4 linked regions of the Diceros bicornis minor genome follow. The protein of the gene in region 4 interacts with the protein of the main gene of each other region in a pairwise test. Links are inferred from orthologs where the notes say so. Each region holds a gene or a part of one and is shown on either strand. Other genes may lie near its edges.

Region 1 (7,044 bases), on a different chromosome or scaffold from region 4:
CAATCTTCCTCTTTTTGCTAAGGAAAATTGGCCCTGGGCTAACATCCGTGCCCATTTTCCTCTACTTTATATACAGGATGCCTGCCACAGCATGGCTTGATAAGCAGTGCGTATGTCCACGCCCGGGATCTGAACCTGCGAACCCTGGGCCACCGAAGCAGAGCACGTGAACTTAACCAATATGCCACCAGGCAGCCACAAGAAAAGAAACTGAATATCTATCTCATACCATACTCCAAAATCAAGTCCAGAAGGATTAAGGACTTAAATGCAAAAGGCAAAAATTTAGAAGAAAATACAGAATTTCTTAAACACACACAGAGACACAACTGTAAATGAAAATATTTATAAATTCAACTATATTAAGATTTAGACATCTTTTCATTGGGGAAATAAAAAAGCAAACTACAAACTGGGAGAAGATATATTCAATGCATATAGCTGACAAACAATTAGTATCCAGAATATATAAAGAATGCCCACAAATCAATAGCAAAAGGCAAACAACCCAATAGATAAATAGACAAAAGACATAAATAGGCATTTTATTGAAGAGGAAATACAAACAGACCATAAACATCTAAAAAGATACTCAGGGCCGGCCCCGTGGCTTAGCGGCTAAGTGCGCGCGCTCTGCTACTGGCGGCCTGGGTTCAGAACCGGGCGCGCACCAACGCACCACTTCTCCGGCCATGCTGAGGCTGCGTCCCACATACAGCAACTAGAAGGATGTGCAACTATGACATACAACTATCTACTGAGGCTTTGGGGAAGAAAAGGAGGAGGATTGGCAATGGATGTTGGCTCAGAGCTGGTCTTTCTCAGCAAAAAGAGGAGGATTAGCATGGATGTTAGCTCAGGGCTGATTTTCCTCACACAAAAAAAAAAACATTAAAAAGATACTCAACTTTATTTGCACTTTTTATACCATCTAAATCATTTTTAAGTGTACAGTTCAGTAGCATTAAGTATATTCACATTGTTATGCAACAGATCTCCAGAACTTTTTCATCTTGCAAAACTGAACCGCCACACCCATTCAACAATAAATTCCACATTACCTCTTCTTCCCAGCCTCTGATAATCACCACTCTACTTTCTGTTTCTATCTAGCTGCATTAGACACTTCATGTCATGGGCTGAATTGTGGCCTCCCTTAAATTCATATGTTGAAGCCCTAACCCCTAGTATCTCTGAATGTGACTATATCTTGAGATAGGGCCTTTAAAGAGGAAATTAAGGTTAAATGAGGCCATGTGGGTGGACCCTAATCAATCCGACTGCTGTCCTTTTATAAAAAGAGGAAATTTGGACACAGATACCAGGGATGCACATGAAAAGAGGAAAGGCCACGTGAGGACACAGAGAGAAGATGACTATCAGCAAATCAAAGAGAGAGGGCTCAGGAGAAACCAAAGCTGTCAACACCTTGATCTTGGACTTCTAGCCTCAAAAACTGTAGAAAATGAATTTCTGTTGTCAAAGCCAACCATTCTGTGGTATTTTATTATGGCAGCCCTAACAAACTAATATACTTCATATAAGTGGAATCATACAGTATTTGTCTTTTTGTGATTGGCTCACTTCACTTAGCATGAGGTCCTCAAGGTTCATCCATGTTGTAGTATATAACAGGATTTCCTTCTTTTTTAAAGCTGAATAATATTCTATTGCATGTATATACTACTTTTGTTTATCCGTTCATCTGTTCCTGGACATTCGGGTTGCTTCCACCTCTTGGCTGTTGTGAACAATGCTGCTATGAACATGAGCGTGCAAATATGTCTTTAAGACCACGCTTTCAATTCTTCTGTATATATACGTAGAAGTGGGATTACTGGATCATACAGTAGCTCTATTTAAAATTTTTTGAGGAAACTTCATACTGTTTTCCATAGCGGTTGCACCATTTTACCGTCTCACCAGCAGTGCACTAAGGATTCCAACTTCTCCACATCCTCACCAACACTTATCTTGTTTTCTTGATGGTAGTTATCCTAATGGATGTGCAGTAATATCTCATTGTGGTTTTGATTTACATTTCTCTAATACTCATTAGGTATTTTTTTAAATGCAGACTAAGACCTCTTTGAGATACCATTTACACCCACTACATTGGAAAAATTAACATGACAATACCAAGGGTTGATGGAGACAGAGATTAAAAAAACTCCTACATGCTGCTGGTGGGCATGTACATTATTAACAATTTCTTTGAAAAACAATTTGGCATTACCTTGTAAAGTGAACATTCTAGTTCCCTATGACTCAGCAATTCCACTCCTATGTAGTCCTTTCCTGCAGTGTTTTTCAAACTTTGGGAAACCGCTCATTTGTGAGTTCTGTAATCCATTTACTGACAGTCACAATTAGCATCTTTTAAACACTAGAGAGGTGAATATTGTTTTATTATTTTGTGAAACTTTTGTTTTAGACATGTGAGTGTGTTTACTGGTTGAAGACACCAACTGCATTTCTTATACTATGGGTAGTGGTCAAAAGTTTGAAAGCCTCTCATATTAAATTCTTGCACAAGTGCACCAGGAGAATATATAAGAATATACATAGCATTATTGTTCACAATTTAAAAAATTGGAAACAAACCAAATGGCTAGAAGAATTGTAAATCTGTGGTATATTCACACAAGGCAACTCTATAAAGTAATGCATGAATCTGACAAACATCTCCTTAAGTGAAAAAAGATCAAAGACTGGCATTTTTTTAAAGCTCAAAAACAAGTATGTAAAACTGAACAATATGCTGTTGACAGATACACACATGGGAAGGGATTAATAAGGACAAAGTAGTAAACAGGGAATAATAAACAAAATTGGGAATACATTTGGCAAGTGGATGAAATGGGGAGAAAAATGATAAACGCAATAGTATCAGTTGTGTTCTAGTTCTTGGATGCATTCATGGATATTTATTTTATTAATATGTAACAATTTAAATTTATACTAAATATATTATGCTCTTATATAATTACGTAATTTACATATTTATAAAAAGCTCCCAAAGTGTACACCCTCTATCTTTTAGCACAGTAGTGAGTCAACATTCCCAAATAAAAACTGCATTTCCTGAAAAACAGGTTAAGAAGTTAAAACAACAAGGAGGGAAATGCTTGTCAGCATGCCAAATGTCAACATGTATCATTTTATGTAAGCATACCTTTCTTTTAACCAGTTTCTTGAGGATAGTGCATGGAAAGTAGGGAATGATCATCAACAGCTACATGGCTACCTTAAGCGTGAGAATCAATTCTGTGCTTTTCTTGGTTCAATGGTAAAAAAAAACACAAAAATTGCAACACATTAAGTTTTTTCTGCGATGCGTAAACCCAGTGTATCCACACCTCAGCCAAGTCAGTATAACGATTTACGTATGGGCCCTTTCGTTAGTCCTGAGCTAATAAACTTAACTATGGAAAGAGAATTAATCAGATGACAGCTGATTATCGTTAATTTAGAATTGGAACAAACTTTCATCGCTTGCCTAATTTCCTTTCAATGATCTTGGGGCAGCTCATCAAAACTTCCCATCAAGTGGAGACAGACTCCTTCATTTCCGAGAAACGCCTTACAAGAAACAACAAAATAAGAGTTGCGGGGGAAGAGAGAGTAAAGAAACCAGAAAAGAAATGCCCCAGGAGAAAGGGATTGTGGAAGGTGAAAAAATAGAAAATTTCCACACTAAAGAATTTCAAAACAATATGTAAGATCGAGGGAAAACTTTCAAGGGCACTTTTCAGTGTAATAACAATAAGGGAATTCAGCTCGGGAAATCCGTGCCTTAAAAAAGGACAATAAGCAGACTCGTTGGACTTCACCAAAACCCACCGCAAACATGGCGCTGGGACGAAGCCCCTACTCCGCCAGCCGCCAAAGCCTTTCGCCTCACTTTTCCCACAAACCCCTCCGCGCGGCCCGGTTCGCTGAAACCTGCCGGGCCGGCCTCCGACCACTGCGCACGCGCGGCACGACGTCACGTGCGCTCCCAGGGCTCCGCGGCGCTGGCAGGAGGGGCCTTGCCAGCTTCCGCCGCCGCGTCGCTTGGGGGCTCGAACGGCGGGTTCGCGGTGCTTACGCTGCCGCGGAGCAGCCGGGGGTCGCAGGGCCGAGCGAGGAGCGCGCGGCGGCGCGGCCATGGGACTGCGCCGAGCCCGGTGACAGGAGGGAGCCGAGCGGCCCGGGCCCTGAGCGCGTCTCCTGCGGGGGGCCTCGCCCTCCTGCTCGCGGGCCCGGGGCTCCTGCTGCCGTTGCTGGCGCTGCTGCTGGCGGCGGCGGCGGCCAGGATCATGTCGGGCCGCCGCTGCGCCGGCGGGGGCGCGGCCTGCACGGGCGCGGCGGCCGAGGCCGTGGAGCCGGCCGCCCGCGAGCTGTTCGAGGCTTGCCGCAACGGGGACGTGGAGCGAGTCAAGAGGCTGGTGACGCCCGAGAAGGTGAACAGCCGCGACACGGCGGGCAGGAAGTCCACCCCGCTCCACTTCGCCGCAGGTAACCCGGGCCAGCGCCGCCTCGCCCCAGACCCCACCTGCGCACCCGCGCTCGCAGGCCCGCAACCAGACACAGTGCTGCTCTGCCCCCGGCGCTCCCCCAGGACTGCGGTCGTGGTCCTCTCCCCCTCGTCGAGTGAGGACTGAAGACGTTGGGCTAGGGGGCCAGCGTGCCGCACTCACTGGAAGTTTTTTTTTTTTGCTTTGTTTTGTATCAACAATACCTGTACCAACTTCCGGTCTTGCTACTCTAAGAGGCCTCCACGCACAAGAAAGAGTAGGGGACGTAGTAGACCTTGCGATTCGAAAGGCCAGTTATCTCCAAAATCTATCTTCTTGCAAATTCCACTATAACTGTTATCAGTCCTTTGGGTTAAAGTCTTCAAGGCCCTTGTAAAATGCAAGGATGTAATTTAGGAGGAGTAGCTTAATTGGCCATTGACACATTAGCGTTAATGGGTTTATCAGGGTAGTTATTAGCAAGTTTCTGGGGAGACTAGAACTGGAAATAGTCGAGTTTGGGAGAATTGAGATCTGACTTAGGCTAGGAGCGGCCGGGTAGCCTCCGCCACACACACAAGTTGAGGTGGAAAGTAGTGGGATGAGAGGAAAGATGGTGTAGGTACTTGAGCTTGGATCTAGAATTTAAACTGGGACTAACCTCGCCTCGTTCTGGGATTTAGATCGTTTGAATTACTTTCTTTTAATATTTACTAGGTTCACTTTATGATATAAGCATATTACATTCACTTAAAGAATTTAAAAGAGCTAGAGATGAGAGACACTCAGCTTATTTCTATAAAGCATTTATACTTTTCACTTTGAAGAAAGATGCAACTGTCTCTATCCTCAAGTGGGCCATGCATGATTGAAAATGGGAGTAGAGTCTCATGGTTCTGATAATCCTGATTTTTTATTTTGTGCGTTACATAATTGTTTAAAATAATTTTTTGAAAAAGCAGAAGGATAGGTTTTAAAGCTCTCTGTTCTTTTCGAATAGGGATGAGCAGAGGAGCGTTAAGAAAGATTTCCTTATTCACAGACATTGCTTGTACACTTTCTACCAATTGGAGATTTGTTTGCTTTAACCTATCCCTGTTTTAAAATATAAATACTAGTAGGAGGTATGCTTTCTTGATCAATTAGAACTTTGTTGAGTTCCCGTTGAGGAGCCTTTTTAAGGGAGAAGGTTTGGAGGACCGTTGGCAGGAGAGCTAGAAACAGTCTGTGGCAGCAGAAAGGGAAAGGAGAGGAATACTAAAGTCAAATCTCATTTCTTTAGCCATTTAGCCTAAAATTTTTGTGATCAGTGCTGCCTTTGCTCAGCTAATTTGGGTTGTCCTGTTTGACCATGTGGTCACCCTTAAACAACTGATTTGGCAAACTGTCATAACCAACTGATATGCAGTCCAAAGGGTAGTGTTACTTAGATTCTGTTCACTTGATCTGTGGGGTAAAAATAACCAAGGAAGATCTTAGTTGCTACCTTTCAAGAATTCGGTGTATTAGTGAGTTCATATCTGAAAATAGTAATATTTAGGGGTTTAACCTTATGGCATTAGCTTCTTATTGACATTATTCCTCCCCCACCGTCCCATCCTCCCTTCTGTCCCAACATTTCAGAGTACTTTTTACATAGATTTCATGTGGTTTGTTCAGACTGAAATGGAAAACCTAATTTTAGGATCCAACCCACCCCTCACAATTTACCCAAATTATCAGGTACAGGTTATCAGATTAAGAATTTAAGGTATAAGAAAAGAGTAATAAAATGAAAATTCTAATGGTCTACATTAAACCAGAGCTTTAAAGCCCTGCATTTAACCCAGGCATATAAGAAACTTTTTTAAAAATTAGCTTTGTAAATCCAATCTAAATTATTAATTAGATTAATGAGAGAGAACTGAATTTTTAAATAAATGCATCCAGCTACATTTTCTCTGTATATAGGGAATACCTTTTGTGATCTCTTTTGTAGGTAGTGAGTTATCAATTGTATTAATGTGCATGTAAGCATGCCATGGGAAGCTCAACATAGGTAGTGGGACTATGTAACTGCCTGACCAAGCAGTTTTTTGTGTTTGTACATTATAGAGTAAGCCATAGGGGGAAAAAAATCTTTTTCTTAGCCAGTTAAAGTTTGGAGGTTTTATTGGGGGAGGGGAGGCACGTTTTTGTCTTTTTTTTTTTTTTTGATTTCCAGGGAACAGGAATAAGATTTGTGCAGAGGAAGGAATATGAATCAATGATAGAAGAACAGTTTAGTCTTTTCATCTAAAATATTTAGTTCAGTTAAGAGAATAATCAGTTGCCAGCCCCAGAGGAGTTAAGTTCTTTTGTTAATGAAAAAAATAATCAACATAAATAGGAACTTTTCTTCTAATAGGTGCTTTTTATTAGTGAACTGGATTACATTTCTTCTAGATAAGTGTGCTTTAAGAAATCATTTCTGGGCCGGCCCCGTGGCTTAGCAGTTAAGTAAGTGCTCTTGCTCCACTACTGGCAGTCCGGACTCGGACCCCGGGCGGGCACCAACACACCGCTT
Region 2 (7,897 bases), on a different chromosome or scaffold from region 4:
AATGAGTGGATAAATAAAAGAGGGTATAGCCATACAAAGGAACATCATTGGGCAATAAAAAGGGATGAAATACTGATACATGCTGTATGAATGAACCTTGAAAACATAATAAATGAAAAAAGTGAGTCACAAAGAGCAAATATTGTATGATTCTATTTATATGTAATGTCCAGACTAGACATATCTATACAGACAGAAGGTAGATGAGTGCTTTCCTAGGGGTATGTGTGTATTGAGGGGATGGGTTGTGTGGGAGGGGGGAGAAGGGAGAGTGACTACTAATTGGTACAGGATTTCTTTTTGTGGTAAAAAAAAAAAAGTTCTAATATTGATTGTGGTGATGGTTGCACGACTTTGTGAATATACCTAAAATAACTGAATGGCACACTTTAAATGGGTAAGTCATATAACATGTAAATCATATCAAAAAAAAGATGTTAAAATTGAAATGTACTTTTGAAAAAAGAATTAGAAGATCTTGGTGTGCAAAAAGCCATTTGCTTGAAGTGATTTTCATTAAGGCAAAAATAACAGCTTGAACTACCTTCCAATGAAGTAAGTATATTTTTAAGGAGGAGTCTGCTGGGCAAATGCATGGTCACCTGCTGAGATATGAGAAGGGGGAGTGACTTTTGAGCATAGATTTTCCCAACCTTTTTCATCAATCTCCAGTGCTTAGAATTGTGTCTGGCAATGAGAGACACAATAATTGTTAGCTGGCTTGAATTTCACAAAAAATAAGCAATCAGAGGTGCACACAGGAGACCTGACTTGCTCAGAGCCCCGCGCCCAGGAAAGGGCAGCATTTGGAGGATAGCCCACGTTTTCCGACCCCCGGTCCGTGTTCTTACCCCGGGGTTTAGACGCATATGGTCTAAGTTCAAATGCCATCCTTTGTCCTCAAGTAACTTTTCTGTCTTTCTGCTCAAAACCTCGCTGACAGCAGAAAAGGAAGGAAGTCTGCCATTTGTAAGTGAAAGGTCACTTTTATATCCCAGTTGAATTGGTGAGGGAAGCCAGCGTTCTGTGGCATTATGGCAGATAGACAGATGTGACCAGGCGTTGGGAAGCACTGAGATAAAGTAATTCATCTTATGATTCTGTCAGCAATGCCGGTCTATCAAGATTAACTTGCCTTCATAAGACAAGATAGGGTTGAGTCGTTACATTTTGTAAAAGGTACAACTACATTTTAAAATGGTTACAATGGTGAATTTTGTGTTGTGCGAATTTTATCTCAACTTAAAATAATTTGTATAAAAGTACACGTGATGCTGTCCTAACTCTGGAGCTTCCTCCTTTTTGTGCCAATAAAATGTTATGAATTCAATAGTTGGAGTTGAGTATTCTTTTACTTGCAACCTAAAGCATCCTATTGGATATCATGTGTACCCTGTGTATTTTTAATTTGAAAGAGATGAAAACTGAGGACCTTGCACTCTAAATATTAAAATGTACGATATATATTCTATAGGAAAAAAAATGGTGTGGCATTAAATTCTGGATAAAGTGGTGAAATATTCAGGAACTATCTAGAAAAAAAAGAACCTTCCCTCCCCAAGGAAAAAAGGGAAGGGGGAGAAAACAAAAATGTAAAAGTTACCAATAGTAACCAAAAGGAGAAGCACTTAAGGAGGTAAACTTCAAAAAGTGCTGGCTCATATAAAAACCGGAAGTTTGAGAGAATCACGGTGGGGTCATGAGCCCACCTCCCGGAAAACACATCTTGTGAGTCCACGAAATCCTGACAATTCTCACTCAGATCTCAAGAGAAGAAAAAGGAGTAATTGCTAATCCTTAGCTTTTCCCCTTTTTGATGATGGGGTAGTAAAAATGGCTGCGGTGGAGATGAGGGGAAAAAGAGAAATGGCAGCAATCTGGCAATACTCTGTCACGAGTGTGAGGGCTCCAGGGGCCCACAGGAATTGGGAGACTGAGCTGATGTGCAAAGGTCCCCCCAAAAGAGTGTGGTAAGCTCTTCCCTCTCCCTCTGCCATGAGGGGTGAGCCCTCCTAGGTTCAACCCAGTCTCCTGTGGAAGGAGGAGGAGCCCAGTTAGCACAGCAGGACTCCAGCTAAGCCCCGCCTGCTCGAAGGCTGTAGAAAATCAGGCATAGAAGGAGTCATAAGCCCTCAAACTGTAACCCAAAAAGGGAAAAGAAAAAGGATCTGATATAAGGATCCAGGAGCTGTCTCCCACAGAGGAGCAGAGCAAAAAGAAGGTCTGGAGAGAGCTGCCAAGCATGGGAAGGTCAGACAATGAACTTGTAACTATGCTGAAAGGGATAAAGCATCAGCATAAAAAGATAGAGGATAAAGATTCAGAAGGGTTTGTATTTCTCAACAGCAGCACTTGCAGCAAGAAAACAATAGAAAAATGACTTAAAAATTGTGCAGAAAAATAATTTCTGAATTAGAATTCTATACCATCCAAACCATCAATCAAAGTGGAGAGTAGGGGGCCAGCCCGGTGGCTTAGTGGTAAAGTGCGTGCACTCCGCTGCTGGCCAGGGTTCAGATCCTGGCTGCGCACTGACGAACCACCTCTCCGGCCATGCTGGGGCCGCGTCCCACGTACAGCAACTAGAAGGATGTGCAGCTATGACATACAACTATCTACTGGGGCTTTGGGGGAAAAAAAGGAGGAAGATTGGCAATAGATGTTAGCTCAGAGCCGGTCTTCCTCAGCAAAAAAAAAAAAAAGAGGAGGATTAGCACGGATGTTAGCTCAGGGCTGGTCTTCCTCACCAAAAAAAAAGTGAAGAGTAGAACCTTTTTAGATATGGAAGGTCTTTAAAATATCTACTTCCATTTCTCAGGAAACTCCTCGAAATTGTGCTCCACTGAAATGATGGAATAAACTGAGGAAGAGAAAGGCATGGAATACAGGAAACATGGACTCCTAGATACAAGAAAAATGAAAGGAAGGCCAGAGCAGAAGCAGAAGAAATGAATCCTTGAGAAACTGTAACCACAGGTTGACCAAAATTGTCCCCAAATTTCCAGCCCAAATTTGTATCACCTTGATGGTCCAAAAAAACATAAGCTGAGAATCCACCTTAAATTGTCCAAACACTAGTTGCACCCTAGGCTTCTGCCAGAAAACAAAGGCAAATTTCCTCTGAAAGAAAATACCTTTTTCCTAGGCCTCAACGAATCTCCACAAATAATTTTTCAAGGAGGATGAGCGGCTCACAGTTGAATGTAACCAAGAACACAAGGAAGCCAGGCACCATGAACCAGAGCCAGTGGAACACTTGACAACGTAAGCAGACACCAGAGACTTCATATGGTGGAATTAATACAGCAAACCCAGAAAACAAATATATTTATTATTTTTTAAGAAATAATGAATCTACAGGAATGGGAGACTTTAAAAAGTGACTGTGTCAGGAGTCTCCAAGACCATCTGGGTGTGAGGTGCCAGGACTCAGCAGAGTCACAGCTGAGATTTCTTACAGTGAAAGACAAAAAGCAAAGTCTGCAAAGGGAAGCGGCACATGGGCCCAGGAAGAAAGACTGGGAGAAATGTGATGACTTTTAGGAAGATTTTTGTCTAGGTATTTGCGTGATGATTTTAACATTTTTATTTAAAAAATTCATTCCAAGAATACTAATTCACTTTTAAGTGAATTAGTGAGAAGGACCACAGCAGTGCTAGAGGGGGGCTTGGAGATGGATTTAGAACTTCACCTCCTCTCATTAGCCTCCCCTGAGAAACAAGCAATCTTAGCAAACACAGGACGGTCCCCAGGCTCCTACTTCCAACGACACCGCCAGCTCTCAAGGCCTCCGGAATAGAGACATCCGCAGCCTCCGTTCAGAGAACAGTGGCTATTTCGTTGTTGGTTTGAGGCAAAGTCAAGTCCAGTGGTTAACAAATGTAATCATAATAAAAATCCTTCACTTGGGTTAAAAATTTGACGGCAAAATGGCATGGAAGAGAATGTCCAAGTGGGAAAGTGTCAACACTTCTGATGACCTTATTTTTCTCCATGGCAATTATACTAACACACTATACATTTGATTTCGGTTATTGTATTTTGGCTCAGGGTATAGCTTTTTAAAATAGGCACTGCCAACTACTGTTACCAAGAATGTGAGGGTCTAGAAGCTGTTTTATGGGAACATTTTGCAACAGAGCTGTCCAACAGAAAAAAGCGGGAAGGGAAGCAGGTAGGTGTTTTTAAACCATTTTAAGGACTACAGAAAAGGATTAAACTTCATTTATGAGCCCCAGACGTCAGAACCGGTTGTGGGTAGAAGGAAGCACGTTAAACTCACTGTCAAGAGCCTTGTAATCATGAAAGCCCTCAGAACACGGCCGCCTCAGACATTGCTGGGCCCGCCCTGACGTGCCCCGTGAAGTCTGCCGTTCACCTAAGGGAGAGGCCACCTGGCGGATTCCTGGGGCCTCCTGGTCACCGGCCGGCAGGAGCGTCTTGGGTTGGTGACTGGGAATACACAGCACAGTGAACAGGATTCTGTTCCTGGGCAACTACACAGCGAAATGGGCGTGCCCCTGAGTGGCTGTCGGTCCTTAGAAGGATCAGGCTGCAGGCGAGGTGGCGAGAGGTTCCTGTTGGTGACAGGGCCCCTTCCTTGTACAGGACCAGCCTTCTGCACCTGGGAGGAAATCGGAGCGCCCACCAGCTCCTCTCCCCTCTGCACTCGCGCCTCCCGCTTCCCAGGCCCACCCCACGGACCGGGTCCCCGCGCGCTCCGGCCGCCGCTGCCCTGCCCGGGGCGCACGGGACGCTGGGGCACTGGGGGCGCACAGGGCGCTGGGGCCGCTGGGGGCGCTGGGACCATCTGGGCGCTGGGGCGCACGGCGGCGGGGCGGGCCCGGGGCGGCGGGGCGCGGCGGCCGGGAGGAAGTGCGGGGCCTGCCCGGGCGCGTTAAGGAAGTTGCCCAAAATGAGGAAGCGCCGCGCGCTGGGCGGCTGAGGCGACTCCGGCGGCGAGAGAGCGAAGAGGAGCGGACGGCCCCGCGCTGCGCCCCGAGCTGTCCCCGCGGACGCACAGCCCGCCGACCCCGGAGTCCCGCGCCCCGCCCTCGCCACACCTGGCACAGGTAGGAGTGGCCGCGCGCTCCCTCCGCCCGTGAGAACCTGGAGGACCTTTGGGCTGGGGCGGGCGGCGAGGGAGGAGGCGGCGGTCCTCCTCCTGGGCGGGTTTCTGTGCGCCCAGCACACGGGGCAGGTACGCTCAGGGCCTTCGGCCTCTGAAATCAGGGAAATTTTGATGAGATCATTCGGATAAAACGATAGGCTGTGCCAGCTTTTCTCCTAAGCCTAGTGCCTCTCGGGGTTCGGCTCCGGCGCGGGGCGCGGCGGCTGGGGCTGGCCCGCGGACTGTGCGGGCCGGGACTGCGGGAGCCCGGCGAGCGCGCCCAGTGCGGAAGCGGCGGGTCCCGGGAAACGCGAGCGGGCATCCGCGGGCGCAAGAAACTCGTCCCCGAAAGAGCACATTTTCGTTTGGCCGTGCTTTACATAAATCCACTGGAAAACTCCACTGTATTTAGCGAAGTGACTCAATGTAGAAATGTTCGTATGCCTGCAAAGGTTTTTATATACATTTCTTTTCCTACAGAAAAAAAGAGCGGTTGCATAAAAACGTGCAACTCTCTGAACCACTACTAAAATTTACCATGATTCCTCTTTTTTCGGCGCATTTTCATGGTAAAGTAACTTAATTAGCCAGTGAGTGGCTCGGAGAGCAGGAAAGTTTCATGTAGTAAAATGAAAATTTGAGTTAAATATTTTTTTAGCAATATGGCTCCAAAACCTGAAACCCACCTAAATAATCGTACAAATGCTATTCATTTTTTTGGTCGTTTGAATGTTCTAGAACGAGAAAGACAATCATTGGAGAAGTTAGAGTTTGAGTCTTTTTAAGTTGGAAACGGTGTTGCAAATTATTTTCATGAGTTTGCCTGACTCGCCAAAGGTTCCATTGCACCTGGTAAAACTGTTCACTGGAGCAGTCATTCTTTTTCTTAAATCCCCGAAGCATTTCAGCGTGTAGTTTAAAGAGCTGGAGATGTCCCACATCTGAATCTTCACATTAAAAAAAATTAATTATGTGGTGACTGAGAATTTCTGGAAGAAATGGAATTGATTCTAGTATCTGATTTCTTTGTTTTAGTAAGAACAAATTTATTGTTATTACACGGGCAGCATTTTAATTAAATGCAGTTAAATTTATCGATGTGCCCCCACCCCCCAAAAGCCCAGATGGTGCATGGATATACTTGTATTTGAGCTAAAAGATTTTAATACTTGTAGAATATTAGATGTTTTAAGTAAGAAATCTCGGTTGAAATTATTTTATCAAATCATTTTGTTCTATCTATACATTTGATGTATTTAGAGAAATTTTGCAGTAAAATAGAAATTGATTTGTATTATTCTCTGTATTGGGAGTGCTTCGATATGTAAGATTTTATGAATAGTCTTAATAACTAGAATGTTTTTAATGTTTTAATCTGGGATAAAAATGAAGTGTATACTTTAGGTCTTTACCTTTCCTGAAGGATGAAATTGGCAGAAAGATCATTTTGCTAGATTTGCATTTCAGAAATAACTCACCACAGCCTTCTCTAGGCTCATATTTAATATTCCAAGTGTAGGTCTGATTTCTCCGTTTTTAAACCAAAGACTTCTTAGTAGGATACCACTTATGCAGCACATAGCATGTCCATGACCATTATCCAAAATCCTTGTGCTAAGATATGTTTTGGAATTCGGGATTTTTCAGACTTTAGGATTCAAATTTAGAATCTAAATTTCAGCGTTGAGAGGGACGTTTCTCAGAATGCAGAGAGGTGCGCATGCGTCCTGACACCATGTGCGCCATCCGTCTTCAGCGCGGTCTCAGCAGTGCCCTGCCGTCTCACCCGTTAGTGTTTCTGCGCTGACCGTGTGAGTGGTCTCGCTAAGGGGAATAAAGACAGCCTACAAATAGCTGCGTGTCAGCCTAGGGCAAGTGTGGTCACTAAATGAGCTTCCCTAAAACTTACCCCCAAACCCTGTTTTTCAGAGCTTTTTGGAGTTAGGGCCCAGGGACTGAGCCTATTAGATCCCATCGAGCTGCCGTTTGCTTTTGAAAGCGAGTTGCATTTCTGTTGCCAGAAAGTCACACTGTCCAGGGATTAGATGAGCAGTTGCCGCCTTTTCAGGAGCCCTGAAATGGCGAGACCTTCCTGACTTTTCAATGATAGTGGCCCACATGGAGATCCTCCGAGTGAGGATGGATGTCTCATCCTTAAGGAGGTGCTTTCAAACAGGAACCGTACTCACAGGGGGTCTCGTCCCCCCTTACAGCTGCCGTGTGTCCTTGGGAGAAGTACTGTTTCAGAGCCCTGCGGTGGCTCTGTCTGTCAACTGTGCCTGAGGGATGGCGGGCTCTTTTATAATCTGAGCTCATTTTTGCTTCCTCAACTTTCACTGTATAGATTATTTCAATTATCTGCAAACTCACCTCTTCTCTCCCCGTTTGCAAGTTTTAACATTTTCCTCCACTTCTGGATTGGGTTAGCTGTAAATGAGTGGAGAAAAAAATTAGGAATTTTGGCCTTTGGGGAGAATTTTTTTAAAAACAAATGGACATTTGTTTTTCTTTTGAAGCAATTGAAATCAAAAGGCAGAGTCTTAAAGAGAGATTGGAGTTAAACTGACTGACTTAAATTACGTCTGGTCATCTCACTCTTCTACTTTGGATTTGAACAAGTTAGTTCTTTTTCACTTGGAAAAGGAGGTGTTTGTTTTTTGTTTTTTTACTGAGCAATTGTGGGAAGATAAGAAAAAACTAGGCTGATTGGACTTTAAAGGAAGAGTTCATTTCTTCATTTTGATATAATGGCAGAGAAGCTTTCTATTAGCTTATAATTGTGTCTG
Region 3 (7,056 bases), on a different chromosome or scaffold from region 4:
GAGGTATATAGCCTGTCCAGGCTGTGCTATTGCGCCAAGAGTGGGTATATCTGGCACACAGTTTTTCTAGAAATTAAAAGAAAACAAAAACAACATGCTATTTTAACACTGTACTTTAGAGAATATCATTGGGTGAATCTTTCAATTAATTGACATTGCAAATCTACTATTGTCACAACTATTTGGGGGAATATATTCTTGTATATATCTAGAAATTTTTCTTTTGTGTGTGTGAGGAAGATCAGCCCTGTGCTAACATCTGCCAATCCTCCTCTTTTTTTGCTGAGAAAGACTGACCCTGGGCTAACATCCGTGCCCATCTTCCTCCACTTTATATGGGACGCCGCCACAGCATGGCTTGCCAAGCGACACCTGGGTGTGCTCCCGGGATCTGAACCGGCGAACCCCAGGCCGCCGCAGCGGAGCGCATGCACTTAACCGCTTGCGCCACCGGGCTGGCCCCGTAGAAAATTTTTAAGACACTCAAAACAATGGTTATTTCTAGGAATGGGGAGGGGAATTTTTTTTTTTTTTTTTTTTTTTTTTTTTTTTTTTTTTTTTTTGTGAGGAGATCAGCCCTGAGCTAACATCCGCCAATCCTCCTCTTTTTTCGCTGAGGAAGACGGCCCTGGGCTAACATCGGTGCCCATCTTCCTCCACTTTATATGGGACGCCGCCACAGCATGGCTTACCAAGCAGTGCGTCGGTGCGCGCCCGGGATCCGAACCAGCGAACCCCGGGCCGCCGCAGCGGAGCGCGCGCACTTAACCGCTTGCGCCACCGGGCCGGCCCCTGGGGAGGGGAATTTTTATTTTCAATCAATCCCTTTCTACAGTTTTGTGTGTTTTTTTCGCCATGAGCAAAAGATTATTTTTTAAAAGATATACCCTGATATATGGAGAGGCATCTCTTACCTCTCCTCTTTTTCTGCAAAGAGACAATAGCAGATGCAGCAGGAAAAGTTTTAACATTATAACTCTGTACAGCATATTCTGGTTTCTAAAATATTTTCATGTTTTCTTACAACTGTAGTCAATTATAACTAAAGTGACTTCACCATTTTTTCAACCAACATATATCAAGAATCCATATTGTGCTAGACTCTGAAGATACCATGATGAACAAGGCTGACACAACACCTGGCCTCATGAGGCTTACAACTGAGTTGGGAGTCAGTCAACACACACTATTGAGCACCTACTTGTTCCAGACACTGTTCTAGGTGGTGGGGAAAGAGACGTGAAAAAGACAGTGAGTTCCTCTCCCCAAGAAGCAGAGACGGGGAGTGGGTGTTAATGTGAGAGAGACAATAAACAACTTAAAAAATAATAATTTCAGGTAGATCCATGAAAAAATTTAAACCAGGGTAATGTTGTACCTATCTTATGGAGTTTTGTGGGTCTTAAATGAGATTATCCATGTAAAGTGTCTTGAATAGCGTCTTGTCTAGAGTAAAGGGTTAATATATGTTTATTATATATTATTAAAGTTGTTGGAGAAGTCCTCTCTAAGGAAGTAAAACATGACTTGGAACCTGAATGATGAAAAAGAGGTAGCCATTCAAAGATCTGGGAAGACAGAGTTTCAAGCTGAAGTCACCTCAACTGCAACGGCCCAGAAGCTAGAACCAGCTTAGCCTGCCGGAGGGACGAAAGAAAGGTGGTGCGGAGGGATGACAGTGACTGAGACAGAGAGAGAGGAAAGAGATGAGGCTGGAGAACGTGGCAGGAGTCAGATCATGTGAGCTCTCTGAGGCCCGGTAAAGAGTCTGAACTTTATTCTAAAGTGTAATTAAGCACTAAGAATAGATGTGACACGATTTGATTTATGGTTTCATGAAAAAGACCACTCTGACTACTGGGGAGGCTGTTGAGGGAAAAGAGTGGAAGTGGAGAGACTGGAAGTGGAGAGACCAGCTGGGAGGCAGGGGAAGGATAATGATGGATTAGCCTAGGGTTGTAGAAGTAGAAATGGGGAGAAATGGCTGAATTTGGGATATAATTTGGAGAATAAAGTTGACAGGACTTGCTAATGTATTAGATCTGGTGGTTGGTGGGGAGGAAAGGAGGCAAGAGATTTATCAGGGATGATTAAATTTTTGGTCTGAGTACCTGGGTGGGTGGTGGTGCAATGAACTAAGATGGAGGAAAACTGAGAGCAGGTTTCAGGGGGAAGGGAGGTCCAAAAAGAAATCAATGGTTCTGTTTGCCCATGTTAAGTTTCAGAGGCTGGTTATATTTGAAGTGAAGATATTGTATAGGCAGTTGGCTAACTCCATCTATGGCTAAGGAGAGAAGTCCACACTGGAGGTATTTCAAAACAAGGGACAAGACGAGATCACATGGTGACTAACAGTAGATATACAGGAAGACAGAGGGCAGAGGGTTAGATATTGAATTACAATACAGGGAGATATGTGCTGTGAAAGATGAAATACCAGGTGAGTGGAGAGAGAGGTTGGTCAGGGCAAGTTCCATGGAAGAATTATATCTGATCTCCTAGAATCCATGGAAAACCAAGCAGTGACATTCTATCAGTGAGGACACTGGCCCAGAGAGGTACTTTGCAATTGGTCACATAGCTAGTGGTCTAACTGTAACTTTCTTTTATATTTGAACCACTGTAAGTCAAATGCGCCACAGCGTACCCTATTAAGAGGCAGAATAGCTGGGCACCTGGGGCACAGGCTCTGGAGTCATTCTGCTTAGGTTCAAACTCCAGATCTGCCATTTACTAGGTGGGTGACTCCAGGCACCTTACTCAACATCTCTCTACTTCAGTTTTCTGATCTGTAAATGGGCATAGTACAAATAGCTAACTACTTATGGTCTGCTTACTATGTTCCTTGTACTAAGATTTTACATAAATTATTCAACACTGCCCTCCAATCATCAATGGAATTGAGTGCTATTATTATCCCCATCTTACTGATGAGGCACCGGAAGCATCTTCACCCATTTCACAAACATTTGTGTGCCTGCTATGTGCCAGACGTGTTGAGGGTATATCGGTTAACACAACAAAAATCTTGCCTCTGTGCAGCTTCAGTCTGGGGAGAAAGATGATAAACTATAAAATAAATATGTACATTATATGGTAATTAGAAGATGATGAATGCTATAGAAAAAAACAGAGCAGGATAAGGGAGCTAGAGAAGTTGCGGTTTTAAGTCGGGTATCCAGGGTGGACCTCACTGAGAAGGTGACATTTGAGCAAAGGTTTGAAGGAAGTGAGACAGCGAGCTACCCAGGTATCTGGGGAAAGAGGGCTCAGAGTTGGAACAGCAAGCCCAGAGGCAGGCCCTCAGGCGGGAGCATGCCTGGTACCCATCAACAACGCCAAGAGCACGCCGGGAGATTCCTGAGATGTGCTGAGAGGCAGGGGCTATGTGTCCAGTTCCAATAACTTCGACTTTTACTCTGGGTGAGATGAGGAACCATTGGACACTTCTGCCCAGAGAAGTGATATAACTTGACCCCCTACATGGGTGGTTCTATTTAGGCCCAAGCTCCACCCATGCAATCTGACGCTGGAGTCCGTGCTCTCAGGACTAAAGAATCAGCCGCCACCACAAAGGCTCAGCCACACAGCAAACGCCCGGTGAGCGCCGGCCTATCACTGTCGTTTCCACGACCCTTTCGCTTAAACCCCGCCCCGACCTACCGCCCTGACCTACCGCCCTCTAGTTCCCCAGCTCCAGGGCTGGGCAGCCACTTAGTCCGGTCTGCACGTAGAGCTTCCCCGGCTACGGATTGCGCAACTCGGGCAGCCGGGCGGAGCCTGCACGTAGGCGGAGCAGCTGCGGGCGGGAGAACGCCCCGGCTGGCAGACGCGACGAGGAAACCCCGCGAGCCCCCGAAACGCCCACTGACTGCGCCTGCGCACGCCCGATCCAGGCCGCCGACATTCCAGAGCCGCAATCCGCCCCGCCCCAATTCCGGGGCGGAGTTCCCGGCCGCGCCTGCGCACAGCCTCGCCGCACCCTACGCCTGCGCTCTTCGCTAGCCCGGCACCATCCCCAGGTTCTTCGGGTGGGGGAGGGGGCGCGTCTCGGCGAGTCACGATGATGGCGGCCACCAGTCTGTGGTGAGCTAGCGGATTCTCTGCTGGTCTCGCAGAGCCCCTCGCGCCTCCTGCAGACTCCGGGGCTGGTGCCGGGCGCGTGAGGAAGCACAGCGGCCCAACCTCGCGGGGAAGGCCGCAGTCGCGGAGGCAGCGGCGTGGCCCGGGGCCAGGCCTGGGGGAGAGGCCGCTCCACAAGGCGAATGTGACAAGCCCCCACCCCCACCGCCTTCCTCCTGAGTGCGCGAGGCGCGCGGGCGACCCCGGGGCCCCGCCAGGCCACAGACCCCGCCCAGCGGCCAGCACCCGGAGCAGGCCCGGCAGCCGAGCTGCGCGGCGGCACCATGCGGGTCACCCTGAAGACCCTCCAGCAGCAGACCTTCAAGATCGACATCGACCCCGAGGAGACGGTGCGAGCGGCGGGGAGCGTGGGCCCGGGGCGGGGCGCGGGGAGCGCGAGGGGGCCCCCGCGCCTGGTCTGCGCGGCGGCGCTGCGTGCGGGGCCCCGGCCTCAGCTCCGAGCAGGGCCGGCGGCGCGCCCGAGCGGGGAGAGCCCCCGGGCGCACCCGGGGGGGCGCGGCAAGCGTGGAGTTCGGGCTCCGGGCGCGGGCAGGGCCCGGGGTCCCGGCCCGTCGGAGTCGGCCGCGGGCTTTGTGGCGGGAGTGAGGGGAAGCGGTGGCCGGACGCCGCAGGCCTGGTGGCAGATGGCGTGGAGCACACGTCGGCGGGGCACGGGAGGCCTCGGCCTGGGAGCTCTCGGTAGCGGGGCCCGGGCTGGGGCGGGGCGGGGGGGGCAGGGCTGCCTGGGCGGTGGAGCCGGCTCCGGTGTCGGTGCATAGGTTGGGGGGGGAGAGGTAGGCGTCGCCACTACTCCTGCGTGGACGGGTTAGGCGCTAAGGTCTAGGAGGCGGTAACCGGAGATAATGAGCCTTAAAAAGATAAGTATCCGGTTCGGTCTGCAGCAGAGTGAGAGATGAGTGGTGAGGGGTGGTGAAATGAATTCTTGGCCCCCTTTCTCCCAGAATTGGTGATCCTTTTATTAGTATTGTTGAATCATGTAGCTGCAATTCTCCCGCCATCGAACCCACACCCACACGTAGATGGCACTTTGAGGCCTGTTTGGTGGTGAAGATTTTTGTATTAGAGCCCTTCCAGTATAGGCTCAAACTCAACTCCAGATAAACGAGGCCTCTGTGTTAGACGTCTTGGAATTGTGGGAGTTGGAAACACTGCACCCTCCCCGCAACCCCCACCTAATAGCGTTTCAGGGGAGAAAAAAGAAAATTACTTTGAATCTCTTCTGCACTTAAACCCTTGAACCCTTCAGAAGTCCACTGGTAAATTCTCATGCCATCTTTGTATTTGTGACTGCAAAAAGAGCCGCTGTCGAAATCAGTACAACTTCCTGCCAAGAATCTAAAAATGCCATGAGTGTAAATTTACTGCTTATGTTGTGGAGTTGTGATTCTGTACTCCGTTAAGATTGTCATAATGCTAAGTTTAAGCCAGCAACTTTCTGCCCATCTATATTTAAAAAAATATTTTTGATTCTATTTTTGGTGGAGATCAGGGGCCTCGGTGTTAATTGAAGAGACCTGAGTTCCATTTGTGGCTCTAATTTATTTGATATGACCTTGGGCAAATTAATCTCTTAGTTGCACCCTCTGCACAATGGGAATAATAACTGCCTTGCATAGGTGTGAAGATTAAATGGTATTTAATTGGTGGTCAATAAATGGTATCGATTATTAATCAGCGGAGTGAGGATATAGTGTTATTTTACCTATCTCGTTTAATCTAAAGTTCTCTACATCTTTAATTATTTAAGAAACGTAGTTCCCAACCTTTTTGAAATTGTGGCACAAAATGATTTGATTTCAAGATATTGTATGTAGAAGTATTCTGGGTGGTAAATTCTTAAAGGTGCACGAGGTAACAACTACATATGAGAAACTTTTCAGAGTCCTCAGAAGTAATTGACAACACGCTGTGGATTGATATTATTTACAAATATCAAATTCTTCTTGAATATTCCTTTTCTGCTTAGTGTGTACTAAGTTAAAGGATTTAAAAGTTAAAATCCAGCTGTTTAACATTTTCAGACAAAATTTTACATAAAATGTCTATTTGAGTCTGGTTCTTTGTAGTAATAAATGTTAGTGCTACAGGAACTTTACCAGCTTATAATATTCAGAATTAGTTCCAGAATTATTGAAACCTGAATTTTTTGTAGGTATCTGTGGGTTTATTGAAGTTATGCAATGACTTTCCACAGCTCCGCTGAAATATTTATGTTCTACAAGATTTGTATAGCTCTTTAGGCACTTTATGCATACGTTATCGTAGAGCCAATATTATATTTGTATAGATTCTTAACTGTATTTGCTGTTTTCCAATTTATTTCCAAGGGAATGTATTAAGTTGTATGAATTATAAATATATTTCCAGAAGAATATTTTTGGAAGCCTCAAGGTTACAGAGAGTGGCTTCTTCGGCTTTTTGTTGCTATTTCTATACATGTAATTTTGTTGCCATTTATATAAATATGACCACTAACATTGTTAATCTGGGGCAAGAAATGAAAATATTTAATTCATGATATATGGAATATTTACATTAAAATGACATGTAGGCTTTTATTCTAATGGGTTTAAATTTCAGAAATGCTTCTCCAGCTAGAACTATTTTAATTTCATCTTTATAGTGGTTTTTCAATTAATATTTATTTTTGATACAGTACTTGAGAGTAGGATTCCAGTAAGAAATAATAAAAGTTATATTAATATAGGGAGACTCTAAGTGTCCTCTTTCTAATTGTTGTGAAAACTAGATAACCAAAGATATTAGAAACAGATCTAAAATACAGGGAAAAAATAGCATTTTAGTGAGGCCTTTAGGAAGATCTGCATAAAATTAACAGAGTTTGGTCTCTTAGACCTCTTATTTTGGCTGCTCAAAGGTTTGTCCTTGTTTGATTTTTACCTAGAAGGAACT
Region 4 (7,478 bases):
CAAAATTTGAAGTACGGTTTCTACTGAATGTGTATCACTTTCACAACATTGCAAAGTTGAAAAATTGTAAGTAGAACCATTGTAAGTTGGGGACTGTCTGTACAGCCCAAGTAGATGCCACCCAAGGAGAGAGGGAGAAGGAGAAAGAGAAATAGCCTGGCTTCTCCCTTTCTCTCACCCTCCAATACCCCACCTATACCTCTCATTGGCTAAATCCGTTCTGAAGCCGGCTGACTTGAGAACATGGGGGCCATGCAGGGACTGTCTTTTCTGTGATTCAGAGCAAAGCAACAGAAGTGCAAGGAATGTACCCGATAGCAAATAGGCAAAGATTATGCAGAAGGCTTAACTAACTTGCCCAAGATCACTGGGCTAGCAGTCCCGTGGTTGTTCTTTGGAATTTGTATATATGTAGCGATCATGTGCTCTGAATAGGGGAGATAGAGGTCTTGGTAAGTGCATTAAACACTTTCTGATATGTAGTTTCCTCTATCCATATATGTTGTAGGGTAATTTCAGGGAAATGCATGCCTACCACGATACAAGGGGAAGAAAGATAAGAAATGAGAAAGGGTCTGGGGACTCGAGGCCATTTTCAGTGTCAGAGTATGCCTTTGGGCATGTTCAAGGTAAGGGGAGCAAATGATCAAGGCAAGAAATCTCTACTTTTGTGATGACTCTCAGTTGACAAAGTAGCTGTTTCTCCATGTAGACCTTGGTTTCAAAGTAAACCTTGTAAAGAAATAGTTCACATTAGACTAGACTCCTTTTTTAATTCACAGAACTCTTTCTCCCAAAACTATTCCAGTTGAAAGTGTCAATATTGGCAGAAAACGTGGAGGTACTATCCTTTAACATGTAAATGCATCTCTTACCAATCTAAGAGGTTATGGGATGGGGCAGGAAAAAAGATATTGGTGGCACTTAGGTATGAAGTGTAGAATTAAGTGAAGTAGATTGAATATGACTGTTATAGGCTAAATTGTGTCCCCCCAAAATTCACACGTTGAAATTCCAACCCCTAGTACCTCCGAATATAACCATATTTGGAGATAAGGTCTTTAAAGAGGTGATTAAGTTAAAATGAAGCTGTTAGAGTGGGCCCTAATCCAATATGACGGGTGTCCTTACAAAAAGAGGAAGAGATACCACGGCAGAAGGTCAAATGTATATGAAGAGGCAGCAAGAGGGTGGCATCTGCAAGCCCAGGAGAGAAGACACAGTAGAAACCAACCCTGCTGGCACCTTGATCTTCGACTTCCAGCCTCCAGCACTATAAGAAAATAAATTTCTGTTGCTGAAGCCACCTAGTCCGAGGTATTTTGTTATGGCTGCCCTAGCAAACTAATAAACTGACCAAAGAAGCAACATCTAGAGACTCTCAGTGTGTGAGGCACCATTGACAGCTGGAGATGCTAACAATGATATGCTCTGTCATATAAAACAATATGGCTGCCAGGACCACAAAGCTGTCCCAGTTGGAATGAGAAATTAGAGTTAGAGATACACTATAAAAACATAAATAAACTTGTTTTCTTGCCTTCATGGCTGTTCATTTAATTCAATACACATTTTATTGTGCACGTGTTAGGCAGATAGTACTCTTACAGGTGCTACTCTATGACCACCCTATCACAGAATGACATCTCTATCACAATGGTGACATCATAGCAACCTACTCTTTGAATGATTGCTTATGGTTACCTTATCCCAGAATGTCAATACACCTAAAGAAGGGAAATAATTCTGATCCTCCTCAAAGTAGATTTAAGAACCACTCTTTTGTCATGGAAATTGTTCAAATCTATACTATGAATTGAATGTTTCTCTCTTATTCACGTCTTACAAATGTGCTTTGGCAACATATTAGACTTTTGGTGTCCAGAAATGGATTTTTCAAACTCTTTCTAAACAAAGAGAAATGAAGAGTCAAGATAGAAGAATACCAATTTCCCTGGTTCACATACAAGGCACATACTGAATATTGTTAGAAACATCATCTTGATCCAAAATAGAAAAATAGACTTTTAGTTAAGAACTAAATTTTTAATTTCATGTGAAATCTATCACTTTATGTGTTTACCTGAGTGTCAACAATCTAGAGTAACGCAACAGTTTAGGAATTATCAAGCAATGTCCTGAGGATATATAATTCCAAGAACCATACATATTAAGGTGGACTCATGAGCAGCAAAACTGACATTGTGACAAATTTTTAAAATGAATTAGGATATCTGGCAGTGGGTCCTATGTGCAATTTTATCTCAAATTCTCATCCTCTATTCATTCCAATTGTACATTTTCTAAAAAAGAATGTCCACAAGGAAACTTGAAATTTTCTTCTCGAAGTTCTACAAAACAACAATTAAGATCAAAAATAAAAATAAGTAAAAAACCATTAGAAGTAAGCTGGGAATGAATGTTCAAAGTGGGCAAGTATGACTACCTTATAAAGAGCGTTATTTGATGATTATCTGGTGAGCTTTGATAAGCAATTTTTTTTGTACAATTAAAAAATTTAACTCAGAGGAAGATTTATTGCCAAATTCTTGAAATTAAAATTTAGTATCTGGCAATATTTTCTTTTAACCACAGTACTAGATTTTTATGTTAAATTTAACTTTCTTAAATTCAAATGTCATGAACTGGATAGATTTTTTTCTTTTAATCTATAATATGGAGAAACAGGAAGTTGATATGTTGGAAAGAACTTTGGTCTATAAACGAGAAAAAATGGACTCTAGTATGCTTTCTTTGACAAGTCACCATCTTTGGGTCTCAGCATTCTCATAAAAAATTTGTGCATTCTATCATAAGTGTTGCATTATTCCTAAAATTCTGGGTTTCCAACCATTTCACAACTTTACACATTCTTCTGGAAAAGACATGAGATATCAATAAAATAAAATTTGTTAAAATCAAATGAGCAAATAAATATGAAGACGCAAGGGAAAGATCTTAAAATGTAGTTGAAGATATCTAGGGTACACAGCAAAGACAGTTGTAAAAGCCTTAAGAGTTACCATGATCCATGATTATTAAATAAAGCCAGATAATATTTCAATGATCATTTATCAAGCTTTCTTTTCTTGTCATCAGATTAAAAATTATACCCGGATTTGCATATGTGAGTATAGTATTTCTAACAATATGCACTGATTATTCCGCCCCTCCCGCAGCCGCACCCTCACCTCCTATCCCCAGATTAGCTCGTGAAACTTGAGGTATTTTTGAGGCTAGAGGTTCCTTTCTCAAGGTTAGGTTATCCTTGTAATTCCATATACAGTCAAATATTCCATGCGGGGTGGTTAACTGATAATTGGCAACTAGGATGCTAGAATTATGTACCATCTAGGTTGCCTGTTGTATAGATCATAGTTCATTTATATCAAATCTCCGGGAAATAAACCTTATTTCTCCAGAGCCTAGCAGTGACTGGCACATGTTTGAATGAATGAAGTAGATGGAGAATGTCAATATTCATTTATGTAATGATTAGTTAAGGAAAAAAGTACATTTCAGCATGAGAACTTCTGATAGCCCTTTGCATAAATCACACTTGACTCTTCCCTTCAGGCAAGTTGACTGCCTGTGAAATTCCTAGAAAACCGAGGGGAGAGGACCGGAGCCGGCGTTCCGGACCCAACGCGGTTTGGGGACGTTACCGGGCCTGGAGGGAAATGTTCGCTCTCGGAGGAGTTCGGAAAGCCGGCGAGCCGCCAAGTCCTGGGCACGGGGAGGAAGCTGCCCTCCGGCCTCGGCTTGGAGCTTTGCGGAGCCAAGGACAAGCGTCGCGCAAGCTGCCGCAGGGTTGCCTCCGAGGCCAGACCCGCGGGGCGCGCCCTCGCCCCCCCGCCGGGAGCGCGGGCCCGCGCGGGGCGGGGGCGGGGCCGCGAGCGGGGGGCGGGGCACCGAGGCGGCCCCGCCCCGCCCCACCGCCCCGCGGGTCACAATGTAGGGTTAGGGCGGCCGGCGGGCGGGGCTCGGCGGGGGAGGAGCCGCCGGGCGGGGGCGGGGACGGCGACGGCGGTTGGGGGAGGGGAGGGGAGGAGGAGTCGCGGAGGGAGAAGGACAGCGCCATTCCGGACGGCCGCTCCCTCCGTCCCCTCTCCTTTCCCCGCAGTGGCCCGCGAGCCGCGGGCGAAGGAGCGCGCGCGCCTGACGCGGCCCGCCCTGCTCGCGCCCTCCCGGCGTCCGCCGTCCGCTCATGGCCCGGGCCGCGGCCGGCGAGCCGCGCTGAGGCGGGCCGCGCGGAGTCGTGGGGCCGCCGCCGTGGCCCTCGCTGTCGGCGCCTCGCCGCCTGCCCGCGCTGCCCGCGCACGCCGGCCGCCATCGCCTTCGCGCCTGGCTGGCGGGGGCGCTGTCCTCCCCGGCCGTCCGCGCCGCTCCCTGGACCTCGGCGGAGCGCGGCAGCCAGGGCCGGCGGAGGCGCGAGAAGCCGGCCGCCGCCGCCTGGGGCGCCGCCGGCGCCGCGGGGGCCATGACCGTGGAGCAGAATGTGCTGCAGCAGAGCGCGGCGCAGAAGGTGAGGCGAGCCCGCCGGCCGGCGCGGCCCCGCTCCGCTCCTCCTTCCGACGGGCGGCCTCCCCCGTCTCGGCCCGGAGCCCGGCCTCCCCGCCGCCGCTCCGGCCTCCGCCGCCCGGGGCCTCCTCCCTCGCCCCTTCCCGTCGCCTTCGGGGGCTCGTTCCCAGGGCCGGGCTGCGTGTGGGAAGCGGGGTGTAGTTAGGGGGTTTCAATCCACTTCCTTCTGGCCGATTGTTTTTCTGTAACAGACGGTGGCGGGTATTTTTTGAGAGCGACCCATACGTTCCTCCACTCCTCTATCTGGTTTCTTAAACTTTCTCCTCTGCCTTCCTTTTTTTAAAAAATAGAATAGCCAGTGGTCATCCCTTCTGAACACAGTTTGTGTTTTGAAGATAGGAGCATTCCAGGCCTGCTGTATGCAAATGGTCTCCACCAGAATCGAATTGCCTGCCTGGCGGGGCAGGTACATTTACCAGGTGGGCTCTGTGTATAGGTAGAGGATTTGGTTGGTTCCTTTTCCTCTTTCTGTTTCTTTTTCCTTTTTTTTTTTTTTTTCGTTCTTGAATATAGAGATTGGCCCTTAAGAAAGGAAACCTTTCTGGCCATGTTTATTCCAGGAATCTTTTGTCCCCTGAGTTTGACCTTGTTCCGTCGCTCACCCTTTACTCTTGACTCAGTCACGCATTCAAATGGTCACTTACCTAAGTAAAAAAAAAAAAAAAAAATCTAGGTTTGTGAAGCTTCAAACATTTTATAGTGAGTAGTGAGAAATGCTCCTCTTATTCTAGATTTGGCTTTCAGAATCTCAAGTGCACCATCATGGCTTGCACCATTTCCTGAAGAGTAGTAAGCTATGAGTTAATTTTTTTTTTGTCATTTGTGTGAAAAGCGTTTTGGGCAAAAGAAAAACATTGCTTTAGTCGTGTTGGAATTAGGGGGGTAACTAGAGTTTATTGTGAGCAGCTACCAAGGTTGTGTTGGGTTTATCTGGGTGAGTAACGAATGCACCACCCTGTTGTAGTTATGTCCTACCTGTGCTTCATTTTAGAATAAGGTCTGATATCCTAAAATGGACTATGTATATACTCACAGCCTTCTAGATTTTTGCTTTGAGATTATTTTTAGAATTTGATGATAGTACTTGAGGTAATTGAAGATGCTCAAGAATTTTGGAAAGCAAGGATAGTGCATTGTTATTTTAGGCACTTTGGGAAAGTTGTCGTTGGAGCTCTTGTGTGTTAGTTAACTGTTACTGGTTAAATTTAGAAGATTATTGCAGGCTGCAATTTATTTACAGTGAAATAATTCTGCATTTAATATTGGGAGTTTAGAACAGTTTATCTCCTAATCCCCTTTATTCTATTTTGAATACCTTAAACTTTAGTTTTTGATGTTGAGTATGTGATAAAGCGTTAATACTTAGAGCAGGATCTCGTGGTCAAATGTATACTAAGCAATATTTAATAGGTTTGGTATCATTTTTGTTTCTAGTTCTCTTCAGTGTTGAATATTTAGTCAACACTGCCAATTTGTTTCAAAGTGGGAAATGTAGCTCATATTTTTCACATCTCTTAAATTTGAACAATGGCAAGAAGTTTGTGAGTTTTTTAAATTGATTTTCGTTAAAGTACTTCTGTAGCATAGAATCAGATAATGCAGATCTGCCTAGTTCAGAAGTTTATGCATAAAATTATGGGATCAAGAATCAAATTACTGACAGTAATCTTGGCCATCAAGTTTAATTTCCTAGTTTAATGAACCCCTCCTTACACAAAGGGAATAGTTGTTAATCCAGAATATTACCATTATGATGCTGTTTTTAGTGTGTGTGTCAGATCATTTCATTGATATTGGGGAAATTTTTTTAGAGCAATATAATGCATTTATTTTTGTATTTCCATCAAGCTGCTTATGTTTTTTTTTAAAAAAGAAACACTTAATATGTTTGTTTGCTTTCCGTATTGACATAGTATTACTTTGTTACTCATATTGGAACTATTTAAAAAATACTTATATGGGTATAAATACTTTAAAGCCATCGACTTCAAATAAATTGATAGATTGAAGTCCACCAAGTTGGTAGCTAGAAAGTGGACTTAAGCTAGTAACTAGGAAGTGAACTTCATACTTCAGAAGAAACAAAAGTGAAACTCTGTTTTCACTTAGCAACTTTATGAATTATCAGTAAAATGAGGTAACTAGTTCATATTGCATAACCAAAATTGAGCCTATTTTCTGCTCTCCTTAAAGTGATTGTGTGTGTGTATGCATGTATATAGCATTAGTTTTATGTAAATAGCTATATTCTGGTGGTTGGAACGGATTCCTATATTTTCAGGATTCTTTTTTTTCTTCCAGAAAGATGAATCTTTCATATAATAATATAGTAATTCTTAGTTTAAAAAAAAGCACAACGCAGAACTTTCATAGGTCTTTTTTCAACTACAAAGTAGCTTGTCACAGTATATTTTAAGGCAGGGGGCTGTCCTTTCCTCTGACGTGTTCTTTGCTTGATGCTGAAGTTTGGCCATGGCAGGGAGTTATGAGATATAGTAAAACTGCAGAGAGCTGCTTTTCTGAGGTTTAGATGCCACCGGTGAGGTGGAGTTGGGGGCAGATTAGCTGCAGTTAAATCCTGCCATAATTTGAGTCTCGAACATGCATCTTCAGCCTTTGAGCTTGATATTGACCTAAGTGTAGGATCCTTAGAGCTCAGAAATTTGATACCTAGATTCAGGTACCAAATGAGGATTCTTTAGGGCAGCAATAGAAGGCTTCCTCCCAGGGACCAAATTGATTTATAGAGTAAAGTGAGCTGGATACTATTTGCATTAAATGCATCTTTCTGAGTTGAATAAAAGATCAGGTTCATAAGGGCAGGTATTTTGCCTGTTTTGTTTCACCCTGGTTCCTTGCACATAGTATGTTTGAGTAAATATTTGATGAGTGTAATC

The links.
Region 1: the proteins of USP25 (region 4) and TNKS2 interact in a two-hybrid assay, tested with the Homo sapiens proteins (2 studies listed by BioGRID and IntAct). The link is inferred for Diceros bicornis minor from reciprocal best matches to the Homo sapiens genes USP25 and TNKS2.
Region 2: the proteins of USP25 (region 4) and SYK interact in binary tests that used the Homo sapiens proteins (3 or more experiments, as listed by UniProt). The link is inferred for Diceros bicornis minor from reciprocal best matches to the Homo sapiens genes USP25 and SYK.
Region 3: the proteins of USP25 (region 4) and RAD23B interact in binary tests that used the Homo sapiens proteins (3 or more experiments, as listed by UniProt). The link is inferred for Diceros bicornis minor from reciprocal best matches to the Homo sapiens genes USP25 and RAD23B.

Annotation. Positions count from the first base shown.
Region 1 is NC_080745.1:57,701,776-57,708,819, forward strand, and holds the start of TNKS2 (poly [ADP-ribose] polymerase tankyrase-2), read left to right. Parts: upstream 1-4,036; 5' UTR 4,037-4,301; coding exon 4,302-4,500; intron 4,501-7,044. UniProt on the Homo sapiens protein: Poly-ADP-ribosyltransferase involved in various processes such as Wnt signaling pathway, telomere length and vesicle trafficking.
Region 2 is NC_080761.1:55,628,006-55,635,902, reverse strand, and holds the start of SYK (tyrosine-protein kinase SYK), read left to right. Parts: upstream 1-4,897; 5' UTR 4,898-5,073; intron 5,074-7,897. UniProt on the Homo sapiens protein: Non-receptor tyrosine kinase which mediates signal transduction downstream of a variety of transmembrane receptors including classical immunoreceptors like the B-cell receptor (BCR).
Region 3 is NC_080767.1:16,537,071-16,544,126, forward strand, and holds the start of RAD23B (UV excision repair protein RAD23 homolog B), read left to right. Parts: upstream 1-4,035; 5' UTR 4,036-4,406; coding exon 4,407-4,472; intron 4,473-7,056. UniProt on the Homo sapiens protein: Multiubiquitin chain receptor involved in modulation of proteasomal degradation. Binds to polyubiquitin chains.
Region 4 is NC_080766.1:18,039,475-18,046,952, forward strand, and holds the start of USP25 (ubiquitin carboxyl-terminal hydrolase 25), read left to right. Parts: upstream 1-4,460; 5' UTR 4,461-4,480; coding exon 4,481-4,525; intron 4,526-7,478. UniProt on the Homo sapiens protein: Deubiquitinating enzyme that hydrolyzes ubiquitin moieties conjugated to substrates and thus, functions in various biological processes including inflammation and immune response.